Lytechinus pictus: one gene and its partners. Each later gene encodes a partner of the first gene's protein in a complex. Links are inferred from orthologs where the notes say so. Each region holds a gene or a part of one and is shown in the gene's direction. Other genes may lie near its edges.

Region 1 (8,514 bases):
TTCTAATAGCTTTTTAAATCTTTGATGGATTCCCTAAAACCCTCACCAATATCATTTTTATTATTTTCTGCTATTTTTACAATAAACTTTATGTCAGGGCGAATTTCCCATTTAATAAATTAAGTACAATACTTGGGATCCAAAGTGTGCTTCAAATTTAATTGAATATTCGAAGAGCGATTTGACATAAGAAGGCCGTGCATGTAAGTCCAGGAAAAATAATAAATACCGACTCAAGTGTTATCAATTTGGTGCAGAAGATTTAAAGTATGATTTAAAAATGTTACCCTTTACATTAGTCCAACATTATAATTCTTATTTTCTTCTCAGAACCTTTCTTATTTAATCTACTCTACATGGAGGGGCTATTGGAATTTTTGACATGGGGGTTTAAGACTGGCAATTTATACCTCTGTCATTTTAACCTCAGCCATTTTTCCCTCTGGCATTTTTACCGCTGCCATTTATACCTCTGCCTTTTTTACCTTTGCCATTTTTACCTCTGCCATTTTTACCTCTGCCATTTTTACCTTTGCCATTTTTACCTTTGCAATTGTTACCGTTGCCATTTTTACCTCTGCCATTTTTACCTTTGCCAATATTACCTTTGCCATTTTTACCTCTGACATTTTTACCTTTGCCATTTTACCTCTGCCATTTTTACCTCGGCCATTTTTACACCGAGCCGGAGAAAAAGTCATACAAATGTACAAAATCTTTTTAAAATTATAATAAGCCAGTTCGTAGTTCCTCTCTGCGCATGATCAAAAGATTCTACGCATGATCAGAGGAAGGTCATTTGTACTAAAGTGACATGGTGGTTTAAAATCTAATGAGATAAGCACCCACTTTGATGTCTTGATTATTCATATATTCTTTTGAATAGTGGTATTCATTTACATCCACAAAAAACAACAACGCGTCCACTCACGAACGACTGGTTTTCACAGTTTGCCAAGTACATTGTCCAACATGCTATGATATGCATTCAAAGTAGGAATGCAACAAATACCTTCATCTGTTCATAAAGTGTTCATTGGTGTGCTATTCTAGTCACCTGGTCTATTAAATTTCCTCATCCTGCTATGTGTAAGGCAAGCTTACGTAATATTTTGCTTTGAAATCTGCCTATCATAATGAAAGAAATGAAAGGTCATTTGACCGAAAATTGTCCATGAGTAACTACGAACTGGTCTATTAACATAAACATTTGTCTTATACAGAGTGAGTCAGAAAAAATGTCCCACTTTTGTAAAGTTGAATTGTTTAAAAGATGAATATTTTATCATTAGTTTCATGATATGTCTTGATAGAGGTATCCTCCAAGTACATTCAGGTACCATTTTCATTTGATCCCGTGCACGCATGACTGAACATCGGACAATCTTTAGAAGACTGTCAGATCTCACTTGCGCCAAGTTACTGGGTGATGAATAAAACAGTGCTTTAGACAAAGACAGTCAGACAGACAGACTGGCATGCTCACACACACACACAAACACACACAACACACATGGTAATAACTGGTTCATAATTTTCTCTTTTCTGATTAAGCATTGATTTTTAGCAAGATCGCTGAATGTTTAAGTGGCAATTCCCGACAATCTTTACACATTCACTACCACCATCATATCATCATCATCATCCTCATTGTCATCATCTTGATCTTGATCTTGATCTTCATCTTCATCATCATCATCAAGTGCACATAAATCCAATATCCTGGTTATGTCTTTTGTTGGTTAACAATGAAAATTTACAATGGATGTCTGTGCTTTTGTTGCACTTGCCTATAAAAGGGCTTGCCTGATTTGGCAGCAGTCACTTGAGCCTCTTTTTCATTGTTGAACCACAATAAACTACCTCAACAAATACAAAAATTCCCTTTTAATTGTTTGTGTTTTTATTCACCGACGTTTGCAGTAATTGTGTGCTTGTGTGTCTGTGTGTGTGTGCGTGTGCTTGTGTGTGCATGTTTGAGTGGGTCTGCCAGTGCGTGTGCATGTGTGTGTGTTTGTGTGTGTATGTACGTGTGTGTGGGTGTGTGTGTGTGTGTTTCAGTCTGTCGGACTGTCTTTGTTCAAAAGAGTGTTTTATTCCCCACCCTGTAACTTGGCGCAAGTGAGATCTGACAGTCTTCTAAAGATTGTCCGCTGTTCAGTCATGCGTGCAGGGGATCAAATGAAAAAGGTACCTGAATGTACTGGGAGGATACCTCTATCAAGACATATCATGAAACTAATGATTAAATATTCATATTTTAAACAATTCAGCTTTACAAAAGTGGGACATTTTTTCTGACTCACTCTGTAGAAGGCAAGTAATATGGCATCAGCATTGGCTGTTATACCACTATTCAATTAACAGCTCAAAATATTGAATTTCGAGCATAACTTATTTAGAAACGAAGCACAATTTTTTTGCAAAATTATACAAGGTTGGAGCGGATTTCTGTTTTTTCATAATTAAATAGCTGTTTCATTTTTAGTGTATTTGGTCTTTCAGTGTAATATATTCTTCTTTCTTCAGCAAAAGAAGGACAAACGAATAGATAGTGAAATTCCGGCATCACCAATTGAAGGTTAATTGCATAATATATACAAAGCCTCATGTTTCTTTGAAAGTTTTCATATCTTCCTGAGGCAGTAGGAAGTCGATGATTTCCACAACGAAATCTACAAAAAGTGATTCTCTTTTTTTATTCATATTGATGAGGTAACTTTCTAGACGAAGATTTGAATATTCTGTAGTTAACCATACACTGAGAGTTTTCGTTTATAATTAACGTACGTAATTTTGCAACTGTGAATCCTTTATTCGTAGATCTACATGCAGCTTGTTTTACCCAATATCTGCTCGAGGAATCAGAAATGTCAAGTAAATTCGTCATGCCCAATCTATCAAGAGTTTGCTTTATCTTCGTTAACCACCTTGTCTTATATATACCTTGATCAGAAAGTACCTTTACAATCTCGTAAATCATACCAGACATTTTCGTTTTACTATTGTGAACTAATCCATACCAGAAGTTTACCATTCTATTCTCAATATATTTCTCTAATTTGAATCTTCCAAGTTCGCCTAACACCATGCAGTTTGCCGTTGATTTATTAGCTTTAAGAATCTGCTTGCAAAATATGATCATGTGGAACACTTCTAGATCTCTAATCACATCAAAACCCAATATTTCTAACACATATTTTAGAGGAGTATCGGTAAAACAAGTTGATCAAAATGACTCAATTTGGATATCCACTAGTAAATCAAGATGATAAATCTTATTCAACATGCTATATATTGTTCTTCTTGCTTGATTCAGTTGTTTAGCTTGAGCTTTTCGAAATGAATTATTATAATTGAAGGTAATTCCAAGATATACATAGTCTTCTACTACTTCAAGAGCCTGGTCTTTAAATGTAAAAGAACCAGTTTTTCTCACTTTGAGAATATAACACTTATCGTCTTGTCTATATTCACATTTAAATACCATCTTTTACAATAATCTGATACTGCATTGAGCGCAAATTGTGGTTCTTGTTCATATTGTGTCCCCTTTCCAAAAAGTATAGGGGCACGTCCCCTTGTCCCCCTGGGATTTCCGCCAATGCGCCCTGCACACATCAACTCACCCTCTCAAAACGCACACCCACGCGCACGTATGCCTTTGTATTTAGTTTTCTGCTGGTAAATAAATGAAGGAAAAGGAGAGAGAGAGACAGAAAGAGAGAATTAGGGATGGGGGGCCGGCACAGTACCCCCCACTTTTTGAAGCACTGAAAAGGTGCCCTTTTTACGCAAGAAAAATGCCCCCTCACGAACGTGTACTGTGCCCCTTTTATCGGAAGAGAACCCATTTAGGTGTTACCAAGTGCCCTTTCTCGTAGAAGTTCCCATTTTTTTCTTCAAAAAATGCCCCCTCACGAACGTGTTCTGTGCCCCTAGCACCTGAGAAGGACATGTTTTATGTCATCTGCATGAGCAATTGCTCCCTTGCCTTCTTGTATATCCTTTCTTGAATCAGTACCCCTTTTTACCAAAGAAACGTGCCCCTTTAACAAACATGTCCTGTGTCCCTTTCACTTGAGAAGGATCCGTTTTATGCCGTTAGCAAGTGCCCCTTTACCTTCTCAGGGGTGCCCTTTCTCGTATCAAGGCCCCTATTAATTTTTACCTAAGAAAAGTGGCACGAACGTGTTCTAGAACTGTTCACCTTTCACCTGTGAAGGACCTGTTTTATGTCTTAACGAGTGCCCCTTTGCCTTTCTCATAGGTGCATGCCTGTTCTTCATATCAGATAAGTTGTCCTGAAAACGATTTTTTTTTCCCCGTGCTCGATGAGCTCCCGGTTTATTTATTTAACGCCGTACTGCCGGGCGTTGTGCTTCCTAAATTCTGCAAGTGCATAATCAGGGATATTGCATATTCCTGGCATAATGAATAAAAAACTTGTAAAAATAATTCCACGTGCCTTAAGCTTCATGAGTCATGTGAGTGGTGGGGTAGATAGGCAGTGGCGTACCTAGGATTTTCCACAGGGGGGCAAATTCGTCCGCCAAAAAATTTGACAAGCAAAAAAACAAAAACTAGGTCTTCAACCACAAATAAAGGATCTCGTCCGCCAAAAAATTTGACAAGCAAAAAAAAAAAGGTCTTCAACCACTAATAAAGGATTTCGTACCAGAAAAAAATGTTAAAAGCAAAAAAAAAAAAAAAAAGTCTTCAAGACTCGTCAGGGGGGGGGGGGCAGGGATATGTCCCTTGCATGGGTTGTGACTCGTCAGGGGGGGGTACAGTCTGCCCCCTCTGCCCCCCCGTAGGTACGGTAGTGTAGATAGGCCTAAGTCATTTTTTTTATTTGTTTTAAGATCATGGCCGTACGCATGGGGGGGGGGGCGGCCCCTCCGAATTTCGCGAGCTCGTCAAAGACTGAACTGAAAATACGTATTTCCAGTTCAGTGATTAAGGCCCTCTACGTTCGTTAGCGGGAAATCAACATGGCTCCTTACAGGTGTTAGAGTCGAACCAAGAACGATTTGTATGATCAATCCATACTAATCTTGTCAATTATAGAGGTAGATATAAACAATCTTCTGAAAATAATTAGATAGAATGTCGATGAATATGAAAAATTAATTTTTGTTTCAATATTGTGGATGATAAAGTGTTTCAAACGATGTTTTGAAAGGCGAATGTAACGCTAACGTCTATGTTTTGCATTGATAGGCGTGCATGTAGGCTTTTCAATTTTAGTTGGGAGCTCCCCCGCCGAGCGTCGGTGGAGTTCGGGTACGGTGCGCAGGTGCGCTGCATGGACAATGATACTTATCTGGTCTATACCTTCCTGTACTAGACTGATCTTGAGGTTGAGCTGTAACGCATAACAACAAGGTTTATCGTAGACAGCTGGCAGCCGTCTGTTTCGAGGAGTTTTTTAACATTTTTTTTTTTTTTATTTCTCCTCGTACACGGCTCGGAGTCAGACGGCTCGCTATCGTGCAGCCACTGTGGCGCTAATGCAGTTTCGCATCGGCCGATTAATACCAGCATACGTCATACCTCATCAGAGTCATCACCAATACTTGTTCCCAAATGTCACTCATGATAAGTCTCACAGTCACATTTCGAGGTCAATATACCCACCTCTTTTCCAAATATTGCGATCGGGAACGGCTGTATTTCACTATTTTCAGCTTTGATCTCGATGTCGTTCGAATCCTCACTCCTCAGTCTCAGACATCACTTCGCGGATCGCCTGGATTCGCCGTGCGCCGTAATGTTGATATGGACTGAAGTTAGCAACCTAATCATGCGAACATGTGGCGAACATCCTGCCAGCAGAGTGCAGGCGAATCTTTTGGTTGTTTAACTTCAGTCCATATCATCCAGAGTGTCAGGTAGTAATTTTGACACTCTGATGGAATGATTTTTTTTAATTTGAAATTCAGATCTCATTGTAAAATTGTGACAAAGTGAAACAAATAGTGCCAAGCAGAAATTAAATTTTCCGATAGTAAACACATGGGGAAATGGCAATCTCGACACACACAAAAATAAGGATTTGCAATTTATCTCTCAATCCTCATTTCTAATGATCCTATAAACTTGTCTTTAGCATCAAAAGAAGCCCCTGAGTTCTTTTTCCATACGGGTACTGTACATCTTAAATGAGTTGAAAATCAATTCAGATCACATTTTTAAAATTTGCCCCCAACATTGTGCCATTCTTTCCACAAAATCAGCCCGTTTTATGCCAACACTTTTCAGTGTGGCTTTCAGACACCCAAAATTTGCTTTCGTGATGCAATATGGCAGGATGGAAGAATCCTAGAGCTATTTCTCCCTCCATGATTGTAGATCTACTTCTGTGTGGTCTAGGCGCATGGCCAATGTGGGAGACGATCTCCCATATTGAATACTTGCTTTGCAAAAGTACAAAAGAAACAACACCAACAAGAATATAATTTTTTCCACCCAGAATTCAGTTGGTCCGAATCCAGCTCATAAATTTTATGAGAATCAAAGCTCGACCAGGAAGGGCCAGGTAACCTGGAGCAACTGAAACTGATAATTATGGACAGGCAAAAATTCAATGTTTGACCTATTTCTGTTTTTTAAAGAGTGTTCCCATTTTTGGAAATTTTTAGTAATTCCCATTTTTTCGGTCAAAGTTGGCAGCTATGTAGCTGTCATGAATCTGTTTCCTGCTTTCAGTTAGACAGAGTTGTATATAGTTGTAAAGACTTGCTCAGAGAATGAGCGACTTTTAATCAATCCGTCTAATTCCCAGCAGATATACATCTCCTTTGTGGGCTGAGGACAGGCCTGAACCATGTTTCTCTATGCACTAACTCTTCAGCGAGCCACAGGCATCGTCCAGTGCATACATGGAAACTTTGCTGGCACCAAGCAGCAAGAGTTGGTGGTCGGACGGGGTAAACTCCTGGAGTTGATCAAGATAGACCCCAACACTGGCAAGCTCTACACTGTACTGAGTCATGAGATATTTGGGATCATCAGGACATTAATGCCTTTCAGGCTAACAGGAGGAAGTAAAGGTCAGTATAGCACTGGTTCAATCAGCAATCTTCGCAAGGACTGTCACACCATTGGTTTGCCAATATATGCCATGTGAAGCGGCTTTTTTTGTAAATATATCATCAATCTGAATTTCAGAAACTATTCCAGGCCATAAATGATATTTTAAGACCGAGGCCACTTTTTGAAAGGGTACAATTTTATATTTCAGCATATATTGAGAAAATTGTAAAGGGTAGAAAAATATCAAAGGCCAAGACCTTGGATTAATTTAAGCCTACATGTAGTTATTCAGTCACAAAAATTTCAGTTATTAGTGATTGAATATTCTATGAATTATTTTAAAATCAAGTTAAATCTGTTAATATATTACAAACTGTGCTTCCTATGTAATCTCATGATAATTTTCTATGTGAGTTATGGTTCTTGCAACAAATGTGGTGTGTAAGTGTACCAACTTTTCAGCCAAGGTCCATTGATAACGTTTGTTACCTTATATACAAATTATGTTATCGATGACTTGACAATGAGTAACATTAATCCCAATACTAGATTTGTTTAAAGTTTGATGTCATGAATGGTTTCTGTTTTGGCCCACTGGTGTCACCAATGCAAGCGTTTAATGTTATCCTTCTAGTTCATTTATTATATTTTTAACTGTTTTAACTGTTTTAAAGAAAATAACAAAGTATGTGTGATGATTTTAGAGGTGTTTAGTTGATATTTGTCTTCTGACAACATTCTTTGGTTTTAATTGATTAAGAATAAGAAGCACTAGTTGTCATTTCAAGAATTCTGCCAGCCCAGACAATTTGTTATTCTTTGACAGTTATCGTAGTCACAGTCAAAAGCTACTGATTTTCAGTACCAAGGATTTCACTTCTTTAGTCAGAGCTGAAACTTTAGTCAGTGCTGACAACTTTCATTTAAACCTGTAAGTGTCCGACTGTTGCTATGCAAACTGTCAGAAAATGATAACTATTCAGTGTTGTAAACTTTCATTTAAATGTCAATAGAATTCAATAGAATGCTGATTATCTCAAAATTCAGTAAGTTGGTATCCATACTGCTGATTGATGCATGTTTTAACTTTGTCTCATTTTAACATTGTTCCATTTGTATGTTTCTTCTTTGACCAGATTTCATAGTTGTTGGATCAGACTCTGGACGTATCATCATCCTTGAATACAATGCTGCTAAAAACTGCCTTGAACGGGTATGGTATAGGTTACATACTTTAGGATACTTTCAGGTGGGGGGATCAAAGGGATATATATTAATGAAATTTGTCTTTGAAATTATCCGTAATGTGATATTTATCCAATGAGTTGAATCCATGCCCACATATGGTGGGTTTAACTGGTGTGAAATTATTTGATATCACTTTTGTCACATTCAACAGATGCTTGCTGTGAATGTGACAAAAGTGATGTCAAATAATTTCACACAGAAAAAAAGTGATATCAAATAAGTTCACAC
Region 2 (7,802 bases), on another chromosome or scaffold:
ACTACATCAAAATCGGATGTAAAATAGTTTATGATAACATTTTAAAGTTTCGCTTATTTTTCACAAAACAGATGGGTGTTTTATAAAGCTGTTCGTAAGTTAAGAGCGACTTTAAGAACGATTTGAGATCCTTTCTTGTGGTAAATTGTATATACATTGGCGATGGTTTATCGCGTAAGAAGTGTTCACCAGTCGTTCTTTAAGTCGCTCTTAACTTGTGAACAGCTTTATGAAACGGCCCCCAGTTATAATGACAATTCAGTGATATGAAAATTAGAGAGTCGATGATGTCACTCACTCACTATTGCTTTTGCATTTTTACTGTTTGAATTATACAACATTTCAATTTTTACGAATTTAACAAATAGGACCCTCTTGTTTGAACTACAAAATGTTAAAACAATGTAATCCCACATGGTCAGGGAGGAATGATTTTTTTTCATAAAAATATTTCATATTTCACATAATAAAATACAAAAAAAAAATGAGTGATGTCATCGCCCTAATTTGCATACCGACAAGGATTTGCATATAACCACGGTTTTGTGAAATTAAGCAAACATTTTAAACGTCATTACTTTCTTCTTTTAGATCGGATTTTGATGAAATTTTCAGCGTTATGCTTGTCTGATTTTCTCTTACTATTCAAAGCAGCTTTTTGTTGGGGTGCATGACTTTTCCTTTAAATCACTTCCATTGAAACATGTACAAATTATTTGGGATTTTTTATTGTTTGTGGCAGTTTTACTTTTTGAATTAAAAAGAGAAAGATTTTACCAACTTTATATCATGAGAACAGGAATAAATCCTTCATATCTACTCAGAACAATTGAAATCAAATCAATGATATCAAGTCAATCTTGCAAAACCAAAGATGAACATGTAGCCTACATTATATGCGACCCCTACTCAACTTGTATGTATGAGTAGACTTTGTTAATAGTAAAACAAATTTCTTGTTTCTTTATGTCAAAATTCAAAAGTGTTTTAGAGGGCAGTTTTCAAGAAAGTAAAGGAACTCTGAACTTATTAGGCTGAATCTCAACATGATAGATTTTTGCCAGGATGGGTTATAACCATGGATCCTATACTAGAAAAAGCCTGTTCAGACATTCTGAGTAGGATTGTGCTTCATTCAGCCAGTTCACTGAAAAAGGTTCAGTAATTAAGTACATATGTACATTTATTTTAAAATATGTATGAATGTTCTTGGCAAAGGGCACTAACATGACTAAATCATAACAACTATACATTTTAGTGCCCTTTGCCAAAATGATTTATGTTTGTACATTTTTAAGTGAATATTTTGAATTGAGTACAATAAAAGTAAAAATCGGCAACGTCCCTGCTTACCCAATACACCGATATTTTAACATTTCTATTCCTTTACATGTTCCTGTATTCAAATAAATAGGCCGACACAGTATATAAGGGAACCCGTTTTCTTATTTTAGCAAAACTGCTGCTAAAATACTAGTTTTCCAGTTTATTGTAAACGAAATCATTTAAATCAACTTGCAAGTTTGTCAAAACTTTGCAAGCCAATGCTTTGAAACAGTCAAATAGTTCCAACTATGGCTCAAAGAAGAACTTAAAGGAATTGTCCAGGCTGGAGAAATTATGATACATGTATCAATAAATAAAGTAAAATTCACAGAGTAAAATACTGAAATTTGATCAAAATCGGATAACAAATAACAAAGTTATTGAATTTTAAAGATTTCTTTTCGATTATTCCGGTAAAACATTTCTAGGCATGTCTTCATGAATATCCGTTAGTTGGGCTTATGATGGCATATCTCCACTTGTTCTTTTGATTATGATTATGTGAAATTAGGTTTATTAAAAAGGAATTTACCAAGAACTAAAAACAATTGAATTGGCAACTAATTAAGTACATTAGTTATTTATTGCCGCAACTTATTTCATCATAATGGAGACACATTATTTACACATGTATAAAAAAAATGAAACAATTATGATTTCATGTTATAAGAAAAAGGAAAGAGGGGATGTGACATCATCAACCCACCAAATGAACATTCATGACGATGTAAATATAACTCTTTTCACAAAATATTGATAAACTTTAAAATACAATAACTTTGTTATTTGTCATCCAATTTTGGTGAAATTTTCATAATTTTACTCTATTTATTTAGATCTGAATATTTTCAGCCCGGTCCATTCCTTTAAGGTTGATACAAACAAAAATAAATGCAGTCGGTCAAAGCTTTGAAAGCCAATGCTTTGAAACAGTCGTTCCAACTGTGGCTCAAAGAACAACTTGGGGTTGAAACAAACAAAAGATAAATGCAGTTTTCTTTAACGTGTATGATCTTCAATCCTTGACCTGAAAATAAAATTTAAAAAATATATCTCTTTGGAGAACTTGAATCTCTGAGTCATGGAATTCTTCCAAATAAACTGATCCTCATTAAATACCAAGAGCTTTGAAAATGAGCACCAACTTTGCATGTTTGCAGCATTAGTTGTACCAAGACAGTTCCTTTGAACCAATAAGTAGAAGCTCTCTACATGTACTTTAGACACAGCAGAAAATGTCAGCTTCTTTATGGCTTTAATATTTTCTATAAATTATATTTTGACTGGATTTGATTATGAAATAGTTAAGAATAATTTTGGTGGTGAAATGCATAATTTTAAAATTGATGTCAGTGTGAAGGGTTATATTTTGGGTGTTTGCACTTTGTCAAAAAAAAATTGTTAGAAAAAATCAGATTGAAATTTAAAAAAATCTGATTTAAATCAAATAGATCCGATTTAGGTTTATATAAAAAAATTGCCAACATTTTCATTCAGCATACTTTTGAGTTTGAAAGTACCTGATTATCACATACATTATGGCTGGCATAAAAACACTTTTAATACAAAGGTGAACGAATGTTGCTGGGCATGACAACTTACACAAGGCTAATTAGGGCTAATTAATATCAAACTGAGCTAACATAACAGTAAAACAGGTTGAATACAGTAGCATGGAGAAGTGACTACAAATACAAGGTCCAATCAAGAAACTATGGTTAGAAGTTAATTCCAAACAGGAACAAAATAAAACATAGCTATCCTGTTTGATTAAAAGTATGATAGTTTACAAACTTACAATCGTGAAATTTAAGATTTTCATTTTGTAAACTATCATATTTAATATTTCAGTTCTGAATTTTATGAGAATGGTGTTTTTGAGTTTGATATTTTGGGTTTTAAGTACCATATGATAAATGTTTTAAGGAATACTGGTTTAATTTACAAACTTAAGCTTAGTTTGCTTCATAAAAATCTGATAACTTTATACCATTCCATGATTTTCTCTTATTTAAAATATTGCAATACCAATGTAACCTCATATGAATTGGACTCAATATTCAAAAGAAATGTTTAAGAATAATTACCTATTCTAATAGCACCATCCGCACCTTTATTTAATAAGCGAGAACTCACAATATTTATCTATAAGTTCAAGAAGAGGTAGTTGTTACCCATGTAGTTTTCAGATATTTTTCAATGCAATAATCAAGTTCATAACCATAATACCCGTTCTTCCAATAAATTTCATTTATGGTCTATTAGGTCTATAGTCACGAAGCTGAGTTATGTAGGTCCCAAACAATGGAATGAGATTCCCCAAATAATAACTAATTCACAATTTATATATTCTTTTAGAAAACAGTATTCAAATTTTCTAGTAAATTATTATTAATTCTCACACATGATATCAATGCATACTTGTAACGTATCTACCCCCCTCAACTCGTGTTTTTTTCTCCTTTTTATATTCACTATTAACTATAATGATATGATATTCTGTTTTGTATTAATGTTGTTTTGTTTTTACTATGTTTTGGCGAGCCTCACATGTTTCTTATTACCTTCATGGGAAGCCACGCAATTTATTTTTATTATCTAATCACATTATTTGATGTTTCCTTGTATTTTTATCCTATTTGCGAAATAAAGATTGAATTGAATTGAATATATATATAGAGCTATGATAAAACCATCCACTATTTTGGGCCATGGAGCAAGGTTTTGGCCATACATGCAGCTGCTCAGTGGAATGTCATATGTAAACACTGTCTGATGGCCTGAGCGAGGGTATTACATAATAACCCTGCTCATGGCTCTGTGGTTGAAGTAGGGGATTATCTATACTCCTCAGTGGTCATAAAATTTGGTTTACAGACAGATGAAGTTATCCAATGAAAGCTCTCTGAAATTTTGGGTGGGTGGGACTTATTTTGACCGTGGGAACAAGATTTCCAAAGAAGAAGCAGACTCTGAAATGGCTCGCTTCGCTCGCCCTTTCAAGCTGGTTTGCTTCGCAAACCAGCTGCAGATCCCACTTCACGAGCCATTCAGAGTCTGCATAGCAGACTACGTTAAGCGTACTTTGTCGTCAAAAGTCCCTACCTTTCATATTAATATTGCGTGCGTGCGCTGCAGCTGCATGCTCGATCTAGCTTCCGTACTGTATCTTTGCTATCATCAACGTCAACATGGCGATGCAAGCAGCCCGCCGTCAAAATGTGAGGAATAATTTTAATATCAGTTTTAAGTAATTTGTTTGAATTAAGATGGTCAATAGATAGGGTCTAATTCTGGAATATTAGAGAATGAGTTACGTTTGAGAAAGTGAACGTAATTACTGAGGAGAATCGAATGACGGTTTCAGACACGCTAGTTAGAATTGTGTGAGGCTAAGTAAGGTACTTATGTACCGCCTACCGGTACGGTACACTACCGTAGGCCGTATACCCAGTTGTTGTGTGTCCGGACAGGTTGTGTGTCCGGACGATCAATTTTAGAAAGTCATTTGGAAAAATTTTCAGTGAAGTTCCATCAATTTTTATTACAAAATGTTAGGAAATATAATAGAGAACAAAATAGAAGATGATTACGACTATCGAATTCATATTTTTAGTGCAATCCAAAGACAAAAAAGAAGGCCTCAAAAATATAAACTGTCCGGACACCCAACCCCCCATCCTACTCCGTAGTTAGTCATGTCTGAATAATGCGATATTTCTTGCACGCAACGTCAGTACCGGATTTCACGTCTCCGTGTGACAAGTTAGGCCTACCTCAAAGCGATAAGAACCGCAATCATAATGTATCATGGGATCGAAAAGGGGGCAAGTTAGCTAGCTCTGCACATACGCACGCGCACTGCGGTCTCTGCCCCCTTTTTTAATCCTATCATCATGCTTTGTGGTGCAGCTTCTGCACTGCTGATATTTGCCAACAACAACATGGGTCATGCCCAGTTCGCAATAAATAGGTATGGCAAGTCGGCGCAGTCTCCCTTGACTGCGCACACGCGTTTCTGCGCGATTCTAGTTAAAGAAGATACGGAACGAGCACGAACTTTACACATGCAATACATAGACAGGTATTCATGAAAATATCCGACTCAAAATGGTGGAAAAATAATGAATTTAGGGCATTTCATGTGACGGCCTCAAAATACAGCCTTTCTCATCAAAATCCCCAAATCGTGTGCAAAGTGAATGAGTGCGCAGACATGGGGTACCATTTTTTTCAATCTGAAAATGACTGCCCGAGCCGAGGTTTTTAAGAAAATCCTATATTTTCTTATATTTTCTTTCATTTTTTAATGAGAAATTTGGTGCACTTATGATAATATAAGGAACTTTATTAACTGAAAGATTTTGTGAAATAAGAAGAAATTCATGTTAAATCTTAACTCAAATTGTTAGGTTCGCAGACTTGGGACCCACCATTATACTCCCTAGGCCTAGTCTTGAGGACGCAATGATGATGACTTTAAAAATAATGAAATATACTTCTTCATCATTGACGTCTTGACACTTCCGGTCGCAGAAGAGAAGGACCAAAACAAAGATGGATTTCCCTCGGAAATCCATCTTTTGAAACAAAAATCACTTGAATTCTATGAATTTCATTAATTTTTACACCTTCCTTTTTTTTTAGCGTCGACCCTTGAACAGCTTATGTATGACGTACTTCCGGGTAGCGATGCCGTTCTGATGAATAATCTATAGATAAAAAAAATTATTTCGCAAATGTTAAAATATAATACTAATAATTATTTATAATCACGTAATAAATTTTAGTATTTGTGAAATAATCATTTTTGTCTCACCTGCATAGCAGAGTGAGACTATAGGCGCCGCTTTTCCGACGGCGGCGGCGACGGCGACGGCGGCGGCGGCGGCGACGGCGGCGGCGACGGCGGCGGCGGCGTCAACACCAAATCTTAACCTGAGGTTAAGTTTTTGAAATGACAGCATAACTTAGAAAGTATATGGACCTAGTTCATGAAACTTGGCCATAATGTTAATCAAGTATTACTGAACATCCTGCCTGAGTTTCATGTCACATGACCAAGGTCAAAGGTCATTTAGGGTCAATGAACTTAGACCATGTTGGGGGAATCAACATCAAAATCTTAACCTAAGGTTAAGTTTTTGAAATGTCATCATAACTTAGAAAATATATGGACCTAGTTCATGAAACTTATACATAAGGTTAATCAAGTATCACTGAACATCCTGCATGAGTTTCACGTCACATGACCAAGGTCAAAGGTCATTTAGGGTCAATGAACTTTGGCCGAATTGGGGGTATCTGTTGAATTACCATCATAACTTTGAAAGTTTATGGATCTGATTCATGAAACTTGGACATAATAGTAATCAAGTATTACTGAACATCCTGTGCAAGTTTCAGGTCACATGATCAAGGTCAAAGGTCATTCAGGGTCAATGAACTTTGGCCAAATTGGGGTATTTGTTGAATTACAGCCATAAATTTTAAAGTTTGTTGGTCTAGTTCATAAAACTTGGACATAATAGTAATCAAGTATCACTGAACATCCTGTGCGAGTTTCAGGTCACATGATCAAGGTCAAAGGTCATGTAAGGTCAAAGAACTTTGGCCACGTTGGGGGTATTTGTTGAATTGCCATCATATCTCTATAAACTGAAAACCAACCAGACACCAGTGTACCTATCAGATCTTCTGGAGTTGAAGAGATCGTGTAGACCCGGTCTTCGTTCAGGGAATGTTCACCAGCTCCAACAAGTTAGAGTGAAAAGGTCCTGGGGTGACAGATCTTTTTCCGTTGCTGGTCCCCGTTTGTGGAATTCAATCCCATCGGACATTAAGTCGTGCCAGTCAAGAGAGCTATTCCACAGCAAATTGAAGACTTACCTCATGAGGGAAGCATTTCCTTAACTGTTGTGTGATAAGGCCATTTTTTATTTTTTGACTACCAACTTAACTGATTGTGTATTTTTTCTTCTCAGTTTGTTCATTTTTATGTATTTATTGATTTCTGTTTTATATAAGTAGTTAATTGTGCGCCTTGAGTGTCATCGACAGATATGTGCGCTATACAAATCTTTAATTATTATTATTATTATTATTATTATTATTAAGTGTATTGGTCTAGTTCATAAAACGTGGAAATAAGAGTAACCAAGTATCACTGAACATCTTGTGCGAGTTATAGTAGTTTTCAAAATCAGCACTGCGGCTATATTGAATCGCGTGATGCAGGTGAGACGGCCAGAGGCATTCCACTTGTTATCTATAAATTGTTCGTCAAAACGGCATTGCTAGCGTCATACATAACTAAGCGGTTCAAGGGTCAACGCTATTGTACTTACGTTGTTTACATGTGGATCAAGGGGTCTACTCGGCATCAGTTGGGTAAGAAACCTTAATTTTTTCACATTTTTATATCATAATTTTAAAAACCTTCCTACGCATTAGGAGTAGGAAGGTGTAAAAATCAA
Region 3 (8,297 bases), on another chromosome or scaffold:
ATAAATTTATTTTTTGCCTCCTGCAAGAACGATGAACCATGCAGCATATGGACAGAATTGATAAAAGAATTTCATTTTTGTTTTCTCCCGACACAATTACTTGAAAACGATATAAAAGGACAAGTCCACCCCCACAAAGTTGATTTGAATAAAAAGAGAAAAACCCAACAAGCGTAACACTGAAAATTTCATCAAAATCTGATGTAAAGATATTAAGTTATGACATTTTTAAAGTTTTGCTTGACCACACACTTATATGTACATCCCAGTAGGCATGCAAACTATTTCTTTTTATTCTACTAGATGAATTATTCAAATTTTCTCTTCATTGTCAAGTGAAACCAAGATTAGTCCCCTCCCCCCCCCCCTCCCCGAACATGTGGGATTTGCATTATTTTAATACTATAATTTTGGTTTAATCAAGTTGGCCCTCAATGTCAAATCTGTAAAAAATGAAATGTTGTACAATTCAAGCAACAAAAACAAAAGAAATAGTGAAGGACGTCATTGACTGTCTTATTTGCATGTCACTGATCTGTGCATATAACTGTGTTGTGAAAAATAAGCCAAATCTAAAAATGTCATAACATTCCTATTTTACAACCGATTTTGATGAAATTTTCAGCATTATGCTCTGTTGATTTTTTTCTATTAATTCAAATCAAATTTTTTCTGGGGAGGACTTGACCTTTAAAATCAAAACTTATATGTACATGTGTAGTAGACAGAGCAGTTTATTTAGTGCATTACTTTTTAAGGTAGATTGAAATTCTTTACATAATGATACGAAGATTGAATAGACTGTTTACGTTTTCTTAACAATGCATCAGAAACTCTGAATGAAAATAGATAAACAATGGATTAAAAAAAATTTCATGAAGATTTTAAACTCTACAGCTAAAGCATGAATATCACAAGTAATTTGTCAAATATATTTCTGAAAGAAATTAAAGGATGATTCTATAAAATAGTAATATCAAACAAATGATAATAGCTTGCAATGTATTTATAGTGCTTACTACAGAAATGTATCTTAGGCCCTATAAAAATAGGTTGAAAAAAAGGATGTTCAGCAAAAATGATATTTTATAATTTAAATTTGATAAATTAAGAAGCTGCATATGCTAAGAAAAATGACTGTTTAGTTAACAAAGAGGTTTTGAAATTGAAATCATGAGGCTTCAAACATTGATTGTTGATTAAAACGAAATTGGTATAAAATATACCTGAATCATAAGAAAGACCAAGTCCATCTCATGCCAAACTTAATTAAACGAAAAAAATGTTGCTTATACCTCTCGTGTCCCTGCTTATACATTAGCCCATCATGTGTGTCATTTATATCCTGGAATTCACGTCCCAAACCTTTTGTCAAACAAGAAAAATGTTGTGATTTTGGGATTTAAGAAGCAAGATGGTCATTTGATCACGAATGATAAATCGGAATGCATGAATACATCCTATCAACCAAGCTACCATATTTTTATCACAAGTGTCCACTTTCATGCACAGATAATCCAATGGAATGCTTAATACCCGAAGCACACCGTCCTTTTCTATTGACAACAGAATGCAGGCAGGAATTCATCAAAGAGAGGAGCAACGGATACCTGCAATAAGGATCAAAACAAAATGAATATTAGAAAATTTGCTCTTCGGTATTCTTTCTGGAAATATATCTTCGTTGATCAAGCAATTAATAAATCCTTTACCTGAATAAGCAAAATGCATTTTTTTCTATTTTTCATTTCTCCTGCAATAGGAAAGTTAGCAGATTATCTATATTTTTTTTCTTCAGTGAAATCTTTGAAATTGTCTTATTTCACATATTAAGAGTATAAAATTAGAAAAAAATTTGACCAACAACATTGAAACTTGATAAAAGACAGTAAAAGACATGTAGTAGGGGGCCAATATATTTTTTCTTCATTATCACATACCTCTAGTAGGTGTTGAATACAGAGAATATCACATTGAAAACTGAGTGAGTATACCAACCTATACATTTACAGAAGACCTGTTCTTCCTGCTAAGTACAGGGCTTGTTCCCCATCAGGACTCCTGATGTAGACATGGCCTGGATTGGCCCCAATCGATAGCACCTATGACTCTTGGAAACCTGAAGCAATCATCAAATTGTCGCTGGGTGGTTTGAATTTCTCGTCATTGGAAACTTTATTCACTGTTACTCCTTGCTATTGCCTCAGAAAAATCTTTGATGATTCTGCACACGGATGACTGTGATATAGTTGCTTTGTCTGCTTGCATCTTCTAAAAGGTACCTTTAGTTATCGAATGATAAGTGATGTTATGTAATTGGTTTATTGATATGAAAGCCAATTGATACTTTACCATTTACGTTTGCAAACATTGTGCTTCTGTTATGACCTGATGTTTATGATGCACTGGAACTGCTTAAAGAGATTTTTCTTTGATTCATTAAAAAAAAAACTCTACTGCAATAACAATCCATGCAAAATGGAGAATATCTCTCTAGCTGAAATGACATACCAATATTTCTTTTTGAGTGGTTATAAATCATCCTTCATGATAATTTCCCACTTGAATATGACATATTTGTATTAAAAAATGTTGCTACATTGTAAAAAATGAGAGAAAAATAAAATCCCCACCTATTTCCAACCCAAAGGGTTACGTGTTTCATTCCGACAAAAACCTTTCTGTGAAATACCCCCAACACTCCCCCTCCCATGTAAGGGGTTACTAGTACTCCTGGCTGAAAGCAGAAACAAAAATCGTACAATTTGGATGATTAATAATGAATATTAGGTTTTGCATTAATTATTTCTGTAAAACATGTGCATGTTTTCATGAATATGCAAGAAATAGCCTGATGATGTCACATCCACACATTTTCCACACATGAATGTACAAGGGTTCCATGATATTTGCTCTGGCGACAATTACTCAATGGAAAATCTGCATGCTAAGCAAAACATGAAACTTAATTTTCATGACTAGATACTTCCAATCCTTGATCCTTACATTATTCTGAACTCGCAATAACTATCTTAAATATATAATCAGCAGTCAACCCCATTTTTACATTCCTGGAGGAAAAAATTAATGATTATAATTTCAGATCACTAGAGAACAAGTGGGGATATGAATATTGCATATGAGATACACAGAACTGTTTCCCCCAAGTTATGTAAAACTTTAAAACTGAATCAATTCATAATTCTCCATCCAATATTGATGGTTTTTGCTAGTCGAATTGTTCTTTATCAAAATCTCATCATTTTTGGCCTGGAAAATCACTTTCATAGAACATAATTTGACCCCCCCCCCCCATTACCCTCTGCTTTATAGTTTGCACATGAAAACTCACCAATGACATAAAAGAAAGTCCTGTCAAAACCTGTAACATGACAGGCAATGTGTGGTTCTCTCTGTTGGTACCCCACTCTGAGAGGTTCATCCTCGTAGTATTCAAATGGATTCTTCCTGTCTCTTAATCCATGCTGTGGTCTTTCTATGTGTTGCTGAATCTGCATGGAAGTTGGAAGATTGTGTTGAAGAGTCACCATGAATGGGCAATTTACTCTTTGAATTTCATTTAATTCAAAAGTGTTTAAAATGAGGAACAGAATGTGAAAGATTATACAGAAATCCTTAAAAAAAGATAGGATAAAAATTCTAATTGACATGAGTAGCTTTTCTATTTACCTACTTGTAAAAGTGAAGAAGAAAAACCTGCCAATTGTTGCTGATCATCATCATTGATCAAACCACGCACGTCTTAGAGATGCTTCTATGAAAACTGATTAACTGAATCACTTTCAATTGGCTTTAATAAAGAAGGCAAGGCACTAATTTTATGGAACTTTGTTTACACAAATAGAGGTTATTGCTTGCGAGTGATTTTCGAATAACATATTTTCATGAATCTTCATCAAAGTCTCATTAAACCTTTTTTTCTACCCCCCCCCCCCCCGGCATTCATCAGACTGACAATGTTTTCTTTCTCTCTTTTAAATAAATATTCAACAAAATGTCAGGATTAATTGGAGATCAACAAGCCTTAAAAAAAAAGCTAGTGACCAGTAGACAAATATATATGTTAATAACACACAAGCAAGGTCCCCCCCCCTCTTCTTTTTTGTCAATTACTATGACAAGAATGAAAAAGTAACATACATGTCACATGATACATTTACAATTACATGATGAATTCAAATCCCGGAAATAATATTTTATTTAAGAAGGCCATTTTAATGACATTTAATTTTTTTTAAATATGAATTGATAAGGCATACCTCACTCTCTTGCAAGACGGCACAGCAGTTCAAAATTGTGAGCCATGTTTGCCTTGTCTTGATTGATCACAATCTGCCGAGTATGTATGGTCTGTTGCTGATATGGAAGAAAAAAAAATAATGAAAAAAATATTCATTCATCAATCATACTGCAATGTCAAAGTATAAAAAAAAATAATAAAGCAGCTACAAATGTAGATTGATAAAATCCGCTGTTTCAGAGGAGTCTTGTAACATTTTCTGATTTTTTTTTTGTGGGAGGGGATGCTGCGGAGCCACATGAAGTCTCAGGGGAGCATATCTCTGACAGAAATAAACCTATTTATCGGTCTACTACAAATGTAGAGGACTTAAGATCAAATGCACTTGTCTGTGGTCTCATGTGAATTTAACATTGAAAGGACACCTTGTGAAAAAAAAAATACTTGAAACAAAGAGGGTGGGGTAGAGAAAATAACCCCCAAAAGAGAGAATTTTCAAAGTTAGACCTCAGTTAGATCTACTCAAATTATTAATAAGGCCTAGGATTTCCATTATTTTGTAATGTTTTGACGACACCGTAAATCTAGTATAAGTGATCGCAAATGCGATGCCGAAGGTCAGTAAAACTTAGTTTTAGTAAAAGTAAAATCAGCTCATTTATAGCTGTTGGAGTAAACAGCGGTGAGTGGAACCCAATCTTTTTTTTTTTTAATTTCCAAAAATAATTTAATCAGGGCTTAGTCCACTCATCCTACGAACGAGCCTTAGTCTTACTAGAGAGGTGACCCTTATTATAATATTTTTTTTTACTCCAACGATGTTGTAGGACTAACTCTAACATGGCTACCAGGTAAGCTTCATAGCTTGACCATCTATCCAAGCCAAGGCAAAGCCAGCCCAGAGTAGAATGTCTATACCGGCTCTGTATTTGTAACGTTAGTGTTTAAAAAAAAATTATTTGTAATTGTAATTTGTATTGCTGCTATCCTGCCAGGAGTCCTGGCCTTGCCTTGGCCTTGCTTTAGGCAAAATTAGATGCACAGTAGATTGTGTTGGCAGAGCCAGGAGAAGTGGCAGGGGTATCGTAGACAACAAAAATTTCATGAAAATCACACGAAATCGAGAATCACTCAAAATCACTGCCTGGCATAACTAGTAGTAGTATCGGCCTTTCAATCACGCCTACCTTGCCTGTGTAGTGTACGCTAATTGCGTCTCGCACTGCACTGCACTGCTCATAGATATGAACGCACACAAAAGTACATGGCTGGGACTGAGCAGCTTAGAGACGCGACGATAACAATGATTCAGACCGATTCAGATACCATTTCAAGTTTTCGAGTATACTTTTTGGAAAGTTAAAGCTATCAATAATAGTTACAGATGGAACTGAAGGCTCCGTCATGATTTAAGCTCCAAAAATTATGTAATTTACTTACAATCTCGGTGGAAGTCGTGAAATATGAAGCTTTAGATAAGCCGATCACACCAAATCTCGTCTCTGTCCAAAAAACTTTTTTCTTGCATGCAGCAAACTTTTCCGCAATCGAAATGCTGCTCTCTGATTGGTTAAAACAGTGGACTAACTTTAACCCACCGATTTAGTCCACCCCAAAGAGCTGACTAAGTCGTGACGTCAAATGACGCGTTTTATACCCCGGTATAACTTTAGTCGACCTTTGTGAATCGCAAAAGTTAGCCCCTAGGTGCTAACTTTAGTCCATGGATTAAAATGACGTCAAATGACGCGTTTTATACCCCGGGTATAACTTTAGTCCACCTTTGTGAATTCGGGCCAAAAAGATTAATTGGAAGATGATTAACCCTTGTCTAATTTAGGAGATACTTTTGCATTTTCTCAACCAGCTTGCTAGCAAGTACAAATTGCATATGGTTGGAAAGATGAAAGAGTACTTTAAAAATTGATACCATTCCAGAAACTGTATGTGATGCTGTTCCTGATTAAAGCCAAGTATTTTGAATTAATCATTACCCACTCAAAATTGGCAACATGATAAAATCACAATTTAAAAATGCAAATTGGCAACTCTTCAATACATGTATCCCTTCATAATTGATTTAGACTCGTGTCATATTTCCATATTTCATGTTCGAAGTATAATGAATAGGAAATTCATGATTGTTGCCAATTTAACGAGCATAGGAAGATTAAAGATAAATTCCAGTTGTGGGAACGATCTCAAAATGACTTTCTACAGAATTTAATATAATGATCACCAAAGTGTCTGTTTGTATGAATATTAAATATGTGCCAAAGGATTCTGGAAGAAATTGTGTAATTGCTGAGAAATAAGCGCGGATTCGGTCACTTCCGTTGGGTCTTTATTCCTGCAATAATAATACACTGTCTCACGTGTGCCTATCTGTGTTGGCGATCTTCAGTGTGATCGTTTTTTAGCTAGATATTATGATTTCACAAAGTTCAGTTTATGTAACTGTACCAGATTTAGATCCACGATGATATATCAATACACAGGGTTGTTTGATTTAAATCATGTCGATTTAAATCATGATTTAAATCGCGATTTAAATCACTTGATTTTTTTCAAAAAAATCACTGATTTAAATCAACTTTTATGAAAAAAATTAGTTTTCTCTATTTTCTCTTCTTCTTAACAGATACTTTCAATGTAATCATTTTCATTTCTGTTCCACATGCTTTAGAGATACTTTAAAAGAATGATACACCCTCATGGAGTCTGATTTAACACCACTGTTTTATTTTCAAATTGTAAAACAAGCAAAACTGATGAAAACAACAAGTTTCTAACGAAGTAATGATAAATAACTCTCTGTATGTACACCAAACTGTTAAATCTTCAATAAAATAATATATAAAATCTACAAAGGTGCTCAAAGTCCACAACTTGGATACTATTACAAAACAGCTGAACTACTTGTATGTACCTCCTTCTTGTTACTATTAATACCCATTCTTTAAATTACTTAAGTTGAAGGCATATGTGTACATTGCACTTTTCATGGTGTGTTTTCATCCGCTTCACAATCCCCATCAACTCAAAACCACATAGTTTGCACTTTGCTCTGCATCCAGTTGCAGATTTTGATGGCAGTTTCTCAAAAAAGTACCAAATGGGGTCTGATTTTCTTCCAGACATGCTTATTCATGCATCACAAAAGCTGCAAAACCCTTGTTTATTAGCTATTACCAGCTGATAGTTGGGAAGTCCCCCATGTGATAGTTTTAGGAAATATTCCTAGCTAAAATCCCCCATGTGATAATTCTAGGAAATATTCCCAGCTAGAATTCCCAAGGGCAGTATAGGAACCCTAACAGGCCTTTAATAATGTCAATTTTGTTGGAAATTCTAAAGTTCTTTGAGTACTTCATGCATTGGAGTAACACTTCGGATGTTTTGAACTGACTGATATAAAAATTTCAAGAGTTTAAATGTATACATAATACATAACATTACTTGGGCTTCCATAAAATTTCCCTCTCTATAATGCAAATAAATTAAAAAAAAAAAAAAAAATTACCTGTATATAAGTGGATTATTGTGTCAAATAGTACAATACACAATGTTCAAAAGACTACTTGACCACTATTATTGGTGTAAAACAGTTTAAATATAGTTTAAAACTTGTTAAGTGTGACCATTATTTTTCGTTGGAAAAAAATCAAAAAAATCTGATTTAAATCATAAAAATCCGATTTAAATAAAAAAAAATCAAATTTTTTTGATTTTTTTAAAAAAATCAAAAAAATCAACAACCCTGTCAATACATTACCTTGGTTTTACAGACTTTCTCACGAAATCAGTGTTTTACTGCAACTACGTTCATTTAGCTTTAATTTGAACTTATGAAAGCTCTAGTGGTCTGAAAATGTTTTTCTATTATGACCGGTAAACTAACTATATTGTTCAATCTGTGTAGGATTGCACGTCACAGGCATATCCACGGTCCAGAGATTCTCGACGAAGACAATAAGGAGGAAGAAGAGAACGATATCAGTCATCGAAGCCAGGACCGTGGTCGCAGGCTGCACGA

Evidence for each region.
Region 2: splicing factor 3B subunit 3-like (region 1) and splicing factor 3B subunit 6-like share a complex: the UniProt entries of both Drosophila melanogaster proteins name them as parts of the splicing factor SF3B complex. The link is inferred for Lytechinus pictus from reciprocal best matches to the Drosophila melanogaster genes Sf3b3 and Sf3b6.
Region 3: splicing factor 3B subunit 3-like (region 1) and microfibrillar-associated protein 1-like share a complex: the UniProt entries of both Drosophila melanogaster proteins name them as parts of the spliceosome B complex. The link is inferred for Lytechinus pictus from reciprocal best matches to the Drosophila melanogaster genes Sf3b3 and Mfap1.

The regions. Positions count from the first base shown.
Region 1 is NC_087246.1:63,654,606-63,663,119, reverse strand, and holds the start of splicing factor 3B subunit 3-like, read left to right. Parts: upstream 1-4,959; 5' UTR 4,960-5,072; intron 5,073-6,787; exon of another isoform or gene 6,788-6,790; 5' UTR 6,791-6,829; coding exon 6,830-7,055; intron 7,056-8,174; coding exon 8,175-8,251; intron 8,252-8,514. UniProt on the Drosophila melanogaster protein: Involved in pre-mRNA splicing as a component of the splicing factor SF3B complex, a constituent of the spliceosome. SF3B complex is required for 'A' complex assembly formed by the stable binding of U2 snRNP to the branchpoint sequence (BPS) in pre-mRNA.
Region 2 is NC_087245.1:7,929,311-7,937,112, reverse strand, and holds the start of splicing factor 3B subunit 6-like, read left to right. Parts: upstream 1-4,277; 5' UTR 4,278-4,517; coding exon 4,518-4,547; intron 4,548-7,802. UniProt on the Drosophila melanogaster protein: Involved in pre-mRNA splicing as a component of the splicing factor SF3B complex. SF3B complex is required for 'A' complex assembly formed by the stable binding of U2 snRNP to the branchpoint sequence (BPS) in pre-mRNA.
Region 3 is NC_087250.1:22,582,639-22,590,935, forward strand, and holds the start of microfibrillar-associated protein 1-like, read left to right. Parts: upstream 1-5,101; coding exon 5,102-5,112; intron 5,113-8,183; coding exon 8,184-8,297. UniProt on the Drosophila melanogaster protein: Required for pre-mRNA splicing.